Linked DNA regions of Callithrix jacchus. The protein of the gene in region 1 purifies or fractionates together with the protein of each later gene. This does not show direct contact. Links are inferred from orthologs where the notes say so. Each region holds a gene or a part of one and is shown in the gene's direction. Other genes may lie near its edges. The genes, in order: RAPGEF2, MAGI1 and BTRC.

Evidence for each region.
Region 2: the proteins of RAPGEF2 (region 1) and MAGI1 purify together in Homo sapiens (co-immunoprecipitation; 3 studies listed by BioGRID and IntAct, with this or other methods). This does not show direct contact. The link is inferred for Callithrix jacchus from reciprocal best matches to the Homo sapiens genes RAPGEF2 and MAGI1.
Region 3: the proteins of RAPGEF2 (region 1) and BTRC purify together in Homo sapiens (affinity purification with western blotting; 3 studies listed by BioGRID, with this or other methods). This does not show direct contact. The link is inferred for Callithrix jacchus from reciprocal best matches to the Homo sapiens genes RAPGEF2 and BTRC.

Annotation. Positions count from the first base shown.
Region 1 is NC_133504.1:37,237,717-37,242,077, reverse strand, and holds the start of RAPGEF2 (rap guanine nucleotide exchange factor 2), read left to right. Parts: upstream 1-1,490; 5' UTR 1,491-1,764; coding exon 1,765-1,833; intron 1,834-4,361. UniProt on the Homo sapiens protein: Functions as a guanine nucleotide exchange factor (GEF), which activates Rap and Ras family of small GTPases by exchanging bound GDP for free GTP in a cAMP-dependent manner.
Region 2 is NC_133516.1:47,144,028-47,146,624, reverse strand, and holds part of MAGI1 (membrane-associated guanylate kinase, WW and PDZ domain-containing protein 1), read left to right. Parts: intron 1-830; coding exon 831-1,585; 3' UTR 1,586-2,597. UniProt on the Homo sapiens protein: Plays a role in coupling actin fibers to cell junctions in endothelial cells, via its interaction with AMOTL2 and CDH5. May regulate acid-induced ASIC3 currents by modulating its expression at the cell surface.
Region 3 is NC_133513.1:94,483,311-94,486,961, forward strand, and holds part of BTRC (F-box/WD repeat-containing protein 1A), read left to right. Parts: intron 1-1,128; coding exon 1,129-1,225; intron 1,226-2,190; coding exon 2,191-2,328; intron 2,329-2,840; coding exon 2,841-2,959; intron 2,960-3,651. UniProt on the Homo sapiens protein: Substrate recognition component of a SCF (SKP1-CUL1-F-box protein) E3 ubiquitin-protein ligase complex which mediates the ubiquitination and subsequent proteasomal degradation of target proteins. Recognizes and binds to phosphorylated target proteins.

The DNA of each region.
Region 1 (4,361 bases):
GGTGTTGAAACCTCTCTCCCTAATTTCGTGGTCATTTTAATGTCTGAGGTGCCAAAGTGGGCTTGGAAAGCAGGGGAGGGTGCAGCAAATTACAAACAAGCAAAATAAACCCTAAGAGGATTTAACGCCACAGAAGCAACTCCGGGCCAACTCCTGGACTCAAAAAGAATGCCCCGTATGGCTCGGGCTGGCGGGCCGGTCTTCTGCCCGGGGTTAGCTTTCAGCCCCCAGGCGGCGGCTTGGCGCCAGGAGCGGGCGGGGAGCGGCGACCCGACGCGGCTGGGTCTCCTAGGAGCCAGCGTCGGGTGTGGGGAGGGGTCGCAGCGTGAGACAGTGGGGAACACTGCGAGAGAAAAGCCCTGCGCTTCTCGCCGGGGCACCGGGACTTGCGCCCCATCCTAGGGTTCAGGCCGCGTGAGGGACCCACCAGCCCGGCCGACGGCTCCGCGACCCCCTTGCAGCCCGAGCGCTGCTCACCTGGGCGCCGCCGAAAGTGCGGCTCACACGCGAGGGCGCGGCCCGCGGGCGGGCTGGGAGCGGAGAGGCGGGACCCAGCGCAAGGGAGCTGCCCGCCCCCCGATGATGCGGCGGCCGCCGACTGGCCCCTGAGCTGTCACTCACTCCTCACCATGGTTTCAGCACAAAGCAACAAGGCCCGGAGGCCGCTTCCTCCCTGAGGAGCGGCTGGGGCGACCGGAGAAGGCGCAGGAGGAGGAAGAGGCGGAGGAAGAGGAGGGGAATCTCCGCTTCCCAAACACTCTCTCCGAGGGGGCTGTCTGCTGCGCTCGGCTCTCGGCGTCGGCCGCCCGAAACTGGGCTGCCTGCGGCCCCCTCTTTCCCCTTCTGCGTCCCGCACAGACGAGGAACAAAGTTGCCGAGAGCGACTGGGCCGGAGGGCTGCAGCCCGGGCGGGGTGCTCTGGCCGCGGCGGCGCCGGCGCCGGGGCAACTCCGCTCCGGGAGCGCTGATGGGGGGAGGCGGCGGCAGCGGCGGCGGAGCCTACAGCGGCGGCCCGAGCAGCAGAGGCAGCGGCGGCGGCGGCGGCAGGGCGGCCCGAGGGGATGCAGCAGCAGTCAGGAGGGACGGCCGAGCCCAGTAGACTGAGACCAGGAGCGGTGGCGACGGCGGCCGAGGTGATCGGGCTTCGCAGCGCCCAGACCGGTGCCAGACCCACCCGGTCCGTCCTCCCGACCAGCGGCCGCGGCGCCTGAGCGCCCAAGGACTGGGGACGCGGGAGATCGGAGTGCTTCCCGGAGACCCCTGGGTGGCGGCGCGAGCCTCTGAGAGGAGGGGGCGACTCTCAGCGCCGAGGGGGAGGAGGTTCTGCCTGCCCGCTGCCCTCCCCACTGCCACTCGTACCTCCCTAAAAATAACTCGGGCCCGCTGGGGCCAGGAGGAGCTGCCACTGTCCCCCGAGTGGAGCCAGGGAGGCGTGTCTAGCCAGGGCCGGACGGAGCCTGCGGAGCGGCGAGGAAGAGGAGGAGGAAGGAGAGTTCCGCCTGCTGGGCGCAGGGTACGGCAGCCTACGCGCGCCGCGACCCTCCCGGCTGCGCCCAGCGCCCCTCGCGCCTGTACTGCGCTCCGGGCCGCCGGGCCCATTCGAGCCGCCCCCCCCGCGGGCCCCGCGCCGCCGCCGCCGCCGCGGTTTGGCTGATTAGCCGCGGGCGGGCGGGCGCAGCGCTCAGGGCGGAGGCAGCCGCGGCGCTGGGCCGGGAGGAGGCCGGCCAGGGTGCCCAGCTGCACGACCCGAGCCGCAGGGGGGAGATGGCGTCCTACGTGGATAACAGCTTCCGCCAGGCGGTAATGAAGAATCCCCCCGAGAGGACCCCCCAGGTGAGAACGCCGGGGCCGTCTGCACTTGACCGGATTTCTGCCTCGCAGGCTGCGTCTGCTCCTGTTCCCCCACCCTCTTCCTGACATAGTTCGCCCCGAGCACCCCACTTCTAGTAGTATCAGGACTCTCAATTCCAAAGGCATCCCACCTCCGAGTCTTTCACTCCGCCTTATGCTGGTTTTAGATTTCCCTCTCCTTGACGTTCTCCTCAACGCTCCTCTTCCCATGACTGACCCCCCCCCCCATGTTGTCCAGCAGAGTGAGTGTGTGTGTGTGTGAATTCTCTAGCTTTCCCTCTCCCCGGCCGCCCTTGGGGGCCTCTGAATCTCAGGGGATGAGGTCTCATCTCCCCTCGGCCAGCGACTCTTGCCCCCCGTGACTGCAGGTCCGTTCCTCCCCTTGCAAGTGGCCCTTCTACCTTAGGAGTTTCGTAGTGTTTGAAAGGTACAGTAGGAAACTTGTACGGTTGTGCTAAAGACAAATCCATTTTGACTTTCTAAAGGAAAACATTGAGGTGTTTGTATGTTTACTATTTTGCATTTTTTTTCTTTTCTTTTTTTGGAAGGATGCTGCTTTCAATTGAAGGGAAGCAAAGTTGAATAGCTAGGCTAGTGCTTTTAAATTGCAGACCTAGCTGCAGAGCAGGCATGTTCAAATACACCCCCGGGAAGGGCACCCTGCGGATTCTTTTGGTGTTGCACAGCCCTGTCAAAATTAGATAAGTTTGTTAACCTTTATACATTTGTTTACCTTCAGGCTTATTCTTTTCTTATTTTTAGCGGCCAATAGGGTTGGATTTGGTTGTCTCAAGTTTTACTAGAGTGGGCGAAATTTTATGAAAATATGGTGGCTTAATTTTCTCTACTTTTAGTTGCTGACCCGATGATGACGCATGTTCCTAAGCATTGGGATGGTGACTACAGGAGATCCTGCCTGCCAACCCTTTTAAGACAAATAAGCCCTCCTGATTCTTGGGACCATCAAAACATTTAGGATCTAATGCTTGAAAGTGTTGCTTCCCTTGTTAGGTGTTGGATGCCATCTGTTCAAATCCAAATGCTCTCGTTCTCTGATGTTGATTATTATTTAGTGTGGGGAGAGCATAATAAAATAGAGTCTTCCCCTGGCTGCCTTTGGACAAGCCCCAAGAATGGCACCTGGTACCATTTTTTGATTTTTCATTTTCCCTGATGGAGCTGTCACATCTGGGAGATCATGGATAGATTGCACATGTTTATCAAACGTGTGGAAGATGGCGGTAGTTTTACAAGAAAATTTGTTTCAGTGTCTCCAGAAAGTTCCCATTCTAAAAGACTATTTTTATTCCAACAAGGAATGTCCTGCTTTGATCTTGCCCTTGGTGTTGCACGCACGGCCTCTCCTGTGTCTTTCTCATCTATTTAAAATTGTCAGTTGAATTAGTCTTCTGTATCTGAAAATGCACATTCCTTGTCTCAATGTGAAGGAAAAGCAGATTTCAGTGAAATATTTCCTTGTCTTTCAAGAATATTAAGTGCCAAGTGAAATTACGCATGCTGAGAATGTTAGAACCTAGCAAGGCTGGTCCGAAAATGATGTCAGAGGCCTTTGGTGGAAATTAGAGAGGGGGGAAGTTGTGCATTTGGTTGATTAGTTAGAAGAATAACAATGACTAAAACCTGCTATCAGGTTGGGAGGGTGGGTCACCAAACAAGACTAGAAGAGGCAAAACCTCCACTGTGACTGCAGGGTGACTGTGCCAAATAAATGAACTGTTAAACTTTATTGTTCCCCTGCCAGTTGTGTAGAATAGGGTAAAAGCTGACCCAACACAGAATCTTGCCTGAGTCAGAAGTAAGTGGGCCAGCTATTACTAACCCCACAACATGAGAGCTCCATTGATAGTCAGAAAGCGGCACATTTGCCCCACCAAATCTTCCTAGAAAAACCAAACATCAGGAAACCTACCAAACATTTCAGACATTCCTAAGTGTCAGCCCTATTGACTTTGATGTTCATTTGGTTGTTGCTAGAGCAAACCCCCATGTTTATTTGTTTACAAAAGTTTGCTTGACTGGCCAGAGGTGATTGTCTAAAAATTTAAAATGTACTCAGAAGTTATTTTTAAAAAAGCTTTTGTAGAAGGTGCTTTTTATATTAAGAATGCTTTGTGAATGGAATGCTGGAAAAATTTCCATAGTCTTGTCTTATAAATGTTTGTGAGTTAGAATTTCACAATATAAGAAAAGCAATGTTAAATAAGCTTGATATCGTGAACAGAAGGACAGGAATTAGGAAAGTTTTGCTGTTGTGCTTCCTTCTGTTTCTGAGGATAGGCTTGATAAAGGAGTTTGTGTGATTCTCCTTATAGGCAAAAGGGAAGTGCTTTAAAAGAAAAGAATTGGAAAATATGTAACTTATTTTTCCTGCTGTTCAATTCTATTTATTTTTTAAAGTCTTGCCAGCCTCATTCATTTCCCAAGCTCCGTGAAAACATAGGTTTGTATTTAGGTCAATCAGTTGCCTAGAAGTAATCCTGATGTCATTA
Region 2 (2,597 bases), on another chromosome or scaffold:
AGAAAACACATTTTTAAAAGTTCCTTATTTATTTTTCAAAAACAGTTCCTTATTTTTTAATGTACGCAAAAGTAGAGAAAGTAGTTGAATAATGCAAATAGAACAGTTGAATGGGCCCTTGCAAACTATCCCATTTGCCAGTCATCAACATCTGGCCAGTGTGTTGCCTCTGTAATCCCCTTTGCCTGCTACCCTGGATTGTTTTTTTAAAATAGAAGTATACTTAACCATAAGGTAAAATGCATAAATCCTGAGTATACAGTGCTGTAGATTTTTTACTTCTATATGTGCCCATTTAATCTCCACCCAGATAAGATATAGATGATGCCCACCCTCCTCCAGAAAGCTTCCCAGGTGCCCCTCCAGATCAATACCCTAAAATATTTTTTAGATAAATCAAAGCAAGTGTTCTTTAAAGCAAAGAATATTTTCTTGGGGGGTGGGAGAGGGGTGGATGCGGGGGAGAAGGGCTGGGAGGTGGGAAAGGAAGAAGAAGGGATAGCTACAGAGAGGAAATGTTGATGCCTCTAGACAGACTATTTGGATTGTGCCTTTAAAAGACTCAAATCATGACTGACTTTTGTCTGTTCTATGCCTCGGGTATGGAGAACAGTCAGCCAGCTTGACTCTGAAAGCCACAAGCACTAGTTTTCAACCCTAACTACATGCAGTTGTCCTAAAATTAACAAGATTCAGTTGGCTTTGAGTCTGACTGCTTTAACAGTTGTTTGCTTGTTGTGACTAATGAGGTCTCGAGTGTGGGTGGGAGCGGGGACAGGAGCCGAGGGACCTTCCTACCCAACTGTTGCTCTCCTTTATTTTCCTGGCAGACCCCAGCAGCGACCGCCACGGCCCCGCCACCGGTCCACAAGGTGTTCCGGAAGTGAGGGCCGGGCCCGACCGCCGGCAGCATCCGTCATTGGAGTCCAGTTACCTACCCGATCTTCACAAATCATCACCACATGGGGAAAAGCGGGCACACGCGAGGGATCCGAAAGGCAGCAGGGAGTATAGCAGACAACCCAATGAACACCACACCTGGAATGGGACTTCGAGGAAACCCGACAGCGGGGCATGCCGACCCAAGGACCGGGCGCCGGAGGGACTGAGGGACGCGCAGGCCGAGCGCGCCGCGGCCGCCAACGGCCCCAAGAGGCGGTCCCCGGAGAAGCGGAGGGAGGGCACCCGCAGCGCCGACAACACTTTGGAGAGGAGGGAGAAGCACGACAAGAGACGAGACGTCTCTCCCGAGCGGAGGCGAGAGCGGTCACCCACCCGCCGGAGAGACGGCTCCCCCAGCCGGCGGAGACGGTCTCTGGAGAGACTCCTGGAACAGAGGAGGTCCCCCGAGCGCAGGAGAGGAGGCTCGCCCGAGCGCAGGGCCAAGTCCACCGACCGGAGGCGCGCGCGCTCCCCCGAGCGCAGGAGAGAGCGGTCCCTGGACAAAAGGAACAGAGAGGACAGAGCCAGCCACCGAGAAAGAGAAGAGGTGAATCTGAAACAGGATGCTGGCAGAAGTTCCAGACATCCCCCGGAGCAGAGACGGCGACCTTACAAAGAATGTAGCACCGACCTCAGTATCTGAGATGCTGAGTCACATTCCAACCTTTACCGTGTCAAAGGTTCTAAGAGGAAGGTCACAAACCTGAAATTATTTAGTTTCTTACCTAATGAAGCATCTGACACCTGATGATCCTATGAATAACAAACATTTTATGCATTTGAAATCTTATAAGAAAAAAAAATATATGAAAAGTATTGTGCCTGATGTATCATATTAAAGAAAGTATTTTTAAATGCATACTTTTTTGGAAATTATTTGCCAAATGCTGGCCCAAAGGGATATAAATTTTGTTTCTACGTAACCTGTAGAATCGTCATGAATTGTTCCCGTTTTTGGGCAATCTTTTTCTCTCCTGGTTAAATGGGGCTGTTGATCATTTTCTCTAAGTAAGGGAATTTATTGGTTAAGTTTAATTAATTTGATATAGAGTGTTATGTAGTGATGTAGTGCTATACTGTAGTCAGGAGTTTTTCTTAAAAGCAGATAGCAAAAAGGCAAAGTTTTATTTGTAAAAGCTGAGGACCCTTTGGGATGGATTCAGTTTGCCGATGATCCTAAAATTAAGCAAACTGTATGACAAGACTACTATTGCAAATGAAGGATATTTATAGCTAAACTGCGCAGCACAAAGATGTTTTATATTGTGAGTTATAGTTGGTTCAGAAAACAGTTTGTACTCTCCCTGGCCCAGGAAGGCACAGAGACAAAAAGGTCGGCTACCTTTACCCAATATAGCACAAGCACAGACAGTCAGGTTCATGAACATCTCCAATATCTAATAAAATCTCATTTAAGGCAGTGCCATCACAGCTTTGCTCAGTTACTACAAGGAATAGACAACAAGCATCTTCCCTGTTGTCTGATTGGAGGCTGAATAGTAGATGGAATGGGGACAGCATGCTGGGTGTGAGGAAGACATAAGATCTCCAATTTGGAAAGCATGGCCCCCTTTTTAGTATAAGCCCATGGTTGCCCTTTGCCAAATTGGGGAGGAGGGAATGAGCCTTGGTGGAAGGAACCTCTCTGTTGAAAT
Region 3 (3,651 bases), on another chromosome or scaffold:
GTAGCAAAGATCTAGCTTGGGATATGAGTATTCCAGAGATGTGCTGTCATAAGGAAGGAGATACTAACAAATGCTGCTCACTGGAATCAGGGAAGGCAGTTAAGTACATGTATGTATGTACACAGCCAGGAACACACCTGTGAAAGTCAGTTTCATGCCTTAGACTTGATAGCACAGTGCTCTTAGGCATTTCTATTTATCTTCTTCCCTAGCTGCCACTGGACACACCTGTGATCCTTTTGCTTTCTGTTGAAATGAACTGAATTGCTCATTTCAAAGAATAGTTGCACTGATCAGCAGCAGCCTGGGTGACTGAGCAGCCACCACATCTTACCCCACACAAATAAAGACCTAGAAGAAGTGATCTCCATTACAGGCATTACTGTTGTCTGCAATGCAGGGGTCCACTGACATAGTTAAAAAAAAAGACTATGGGGTATGTGCTAGTTCAAAGGTAATAGTTACCATTACCAACAAAATTTCCAAAAGATGAGGCCAGTGAATCTATGCAGTAGTCTTAATAGACCAGTAGATGAATTCTGATTATACATATTCCATTTGTCTACTCATAATATTCCTAAAGGTTTGGTACTCCAATGTTCTACACTGGAAATAATGTTTTACCCAAAAGCAAATCAATGTTAGGCAGATTCCTTAGATACCAGAAGGCTGAAATCAAGATTACTTTTGGACCTCCCCAGGCAGCTTTGGAGAGTATATAGGATGGTAACTGTGAAAACACTTTGAAAATGTATGAAGCTCCTTACATATATGTTGGCTGGGCATGGTAGCTCATGCCTGTAATCCCAGCACTTTGGGAGGCCAAGCGGGCGGATCATTTGAGGCCTGGAGTTTAAGACCAGCCTGACCAACGTGGTGAAACCCCATCTCTACTGAAATACAAAAATTAGCCGGGCTTGGTAGTAAACGCCTGTAATTGCAGCTACCAGGAGGCTGAGGCAGGAGAATTGCTTGAACCCAGGAGGTGGAGGTTGCAGTGAGTCAACATCACACTGCTGCACTGCAGCCTGGGCAACAGAGCAAGACTCTGTCTCAAAAAATAAATAAATAAGTAAATATTTAATGTCATGATTTTCATTGGGAAATATTTTTTTTTTTTTTTTTTAGGGGACAGTATTTATTCAAAAACAAACCTCCTGATGGGAATACTCCTCCCAACTCTTTTTATAGAGCACTTTATCCTAAAATTATACAAGACATTGAGGTAAGAATCTGTGTATTTTGGGGTATTTTCCAAATGGTACATCTTTCTTCAGTTGCAGTATGGTTACACCAAGCCCATTAAGGTTTATTGACGTGAGTTGAAAATCAACCTCTTGGCTGGCGTGGTGGCTCACGCCTGTAATCCCGGCACTTTGGGAGGTCAAGGCAGGTGGATCACCTAAAGTCAGGAGTTCGAGACCAGCCAGGCTAACATGATGAGACGCCATCTCTACTAAAAATACAAAAACTAGCCAGGCATGGTGGCACACATCTGTAACCCCAGCTACTCAGAAGGCTGAGGTAGGAGAATTGATTGAACCTGGGAGGCAGATGTTGCAGTGAGCCAAGATCCTGCCACTGCACTTCAGCTTGAATGACAGAGTGAGACTTTGTCTCAGAAAAAAACAGAAAGAAAAAGAAAATCAATTTCTTTATAGTTAAGTAGGGTAGGTAAAATAAATTGCTAGGCAAAATTTTAAAGCTTTAAAAAATTGTTTACTAATAGATGAAAGAGAATTAAAGAGATTGATCCCTTCATATAATAGCAGTGTGACTGGGAAACTAGTACCCATAAGCTCATATTTAAATATCTTCTGAATTCAGCCGCCATAGAAGTTCATCGGTAGTGATGGCCATCGCATATGTAAGAGCACTGAACATATAACCTCACATAGTTCATAGCTTTTCTTCTCTTGATGAGTCATCTCTTCCCACCAGATTTATTATTTAATTGAACAAATGATATGCAGGAGGGGGTTCTAGAAAAAATCTTTAATTACCTTGCAAAAGGAAAAATACTTTATAAATTTAGATAGTAGCTTTTTTAATAGATATTTTTTAGTTTTCCCTAAGCGATGTATCTCCCACAGAGTAAAGCATTAAGTCATTGATTGCCATTAAAGCCCAAAAAGGGTTTGGTTTTAGGCGTTTCCTAATTACTGCCTCTTTACCTTTCTGTCTTCTCAGACAATAGAATCTAATTGGAGATGTGGAAGACATAGTTTACAGAGAATCCACTGCCGAAGTGAAACAAGCAAAGGAGTTTACTGTTTACAGTATGATGATCAGAAAATAGTAAGCGGCCTTCGAGACAACACAATCAAGGTGAGGTCTGTTCAGTTGTAGGAAGGTAGCTGAGGGAGCAAGGGTGACCACATTCATAACACAGTCCACAGCATAAACTCTAAGCATTATTTCTAGAAAGTAAGTGAAGATTTTAGATTGTTTCCAGTCCCAAAGCCAAAATCATTTCCTTAAAGGACAGACATCTGCTTCCCCCTAGAATACTATACAAATAGGAAGTCTCTAGGGTTAAATTCTCTTCTTGAAATGAACTGAATGGGCTATTACTCTTTTGGCCCTCACATAATTATAGGCTACTCTGTTCTCTAATTAAAAGGATAAAGGTTTGTATTAGTACTGAAGCCGTATATGTATGTATGTATGTGTGTGTGTGCGCGCATGCGCGCGCGCTTAGCTATACTTATAGGAAAGAATGCATTCCACACTACTATGGGCTTTGATTATTTTGGGAGATCAAATACATAATAGGACCAACAAGTCTCCACAGCACCCCATCATGACATTGATCAAAAGGATCTTATTTGCCATCCTAGATCTGGGATAAAAACACATTGGAATGCAAGCGAATTCTCACAGGCCATACAGGTTCTGTCCTGTGTCTCCAGTATGATGAAAGAGTGATCATAACCGGATCATCGGATTCCACAGTCAGGTAGAAAATTTCAAATGCTCTTTTGAACTTTGAAACATCAGCTCTGCTCTGTTCTTTGTCATAGATAGTAATTTTGTATATATCGGCACAGTTCTGAAACTAAAGAAGAATATACCACCGAGTCCCCATCATTTGTGTCAGTCTAGAACTAGAAAACTTGATTTAGGAATGCTTGAGGTAAGTTAACATTTTCGCACGTTTAAGAAACTACACATTCTATTTTAATTTGGAGAATCATCTATCACAGAAACTTTTCTTATCCTTATGGTAAGGCTTGCATTATAAAAACCACCTCACAGGGGAATGACATGAATGTAATGAAGCCGTCCTTTTAGGTGGTTGTAACTGTAGTGCAGGTCTGTATTATCTCCTTTGAAACATGTACAGGTGAGCTGTGCTCTTTGTCAGCTCCTCCCCTGCCGTCCCTGCAGTTTTTAATTGCGAGCTTCACTCAGGGAGGGGCCCTCAATTTCCAGAGGCGTTAGTGATTTGATGACACAGCCATTATACTGCTGGAGTCCAGGATAGCTTGAGTTCTGGGTACCAGCAGCACTGCTGGGAACTTCTGTTAGGAATTTTGCCTTAAGCTGAAGTATTTAGCAAACATAATGCATCAAAAGTAACTTTAAAAAAAAATAAACCTAGGAAAAAAAGCAGTTAACTGCATTGTTCGATACTCTGAAGTTAAATGT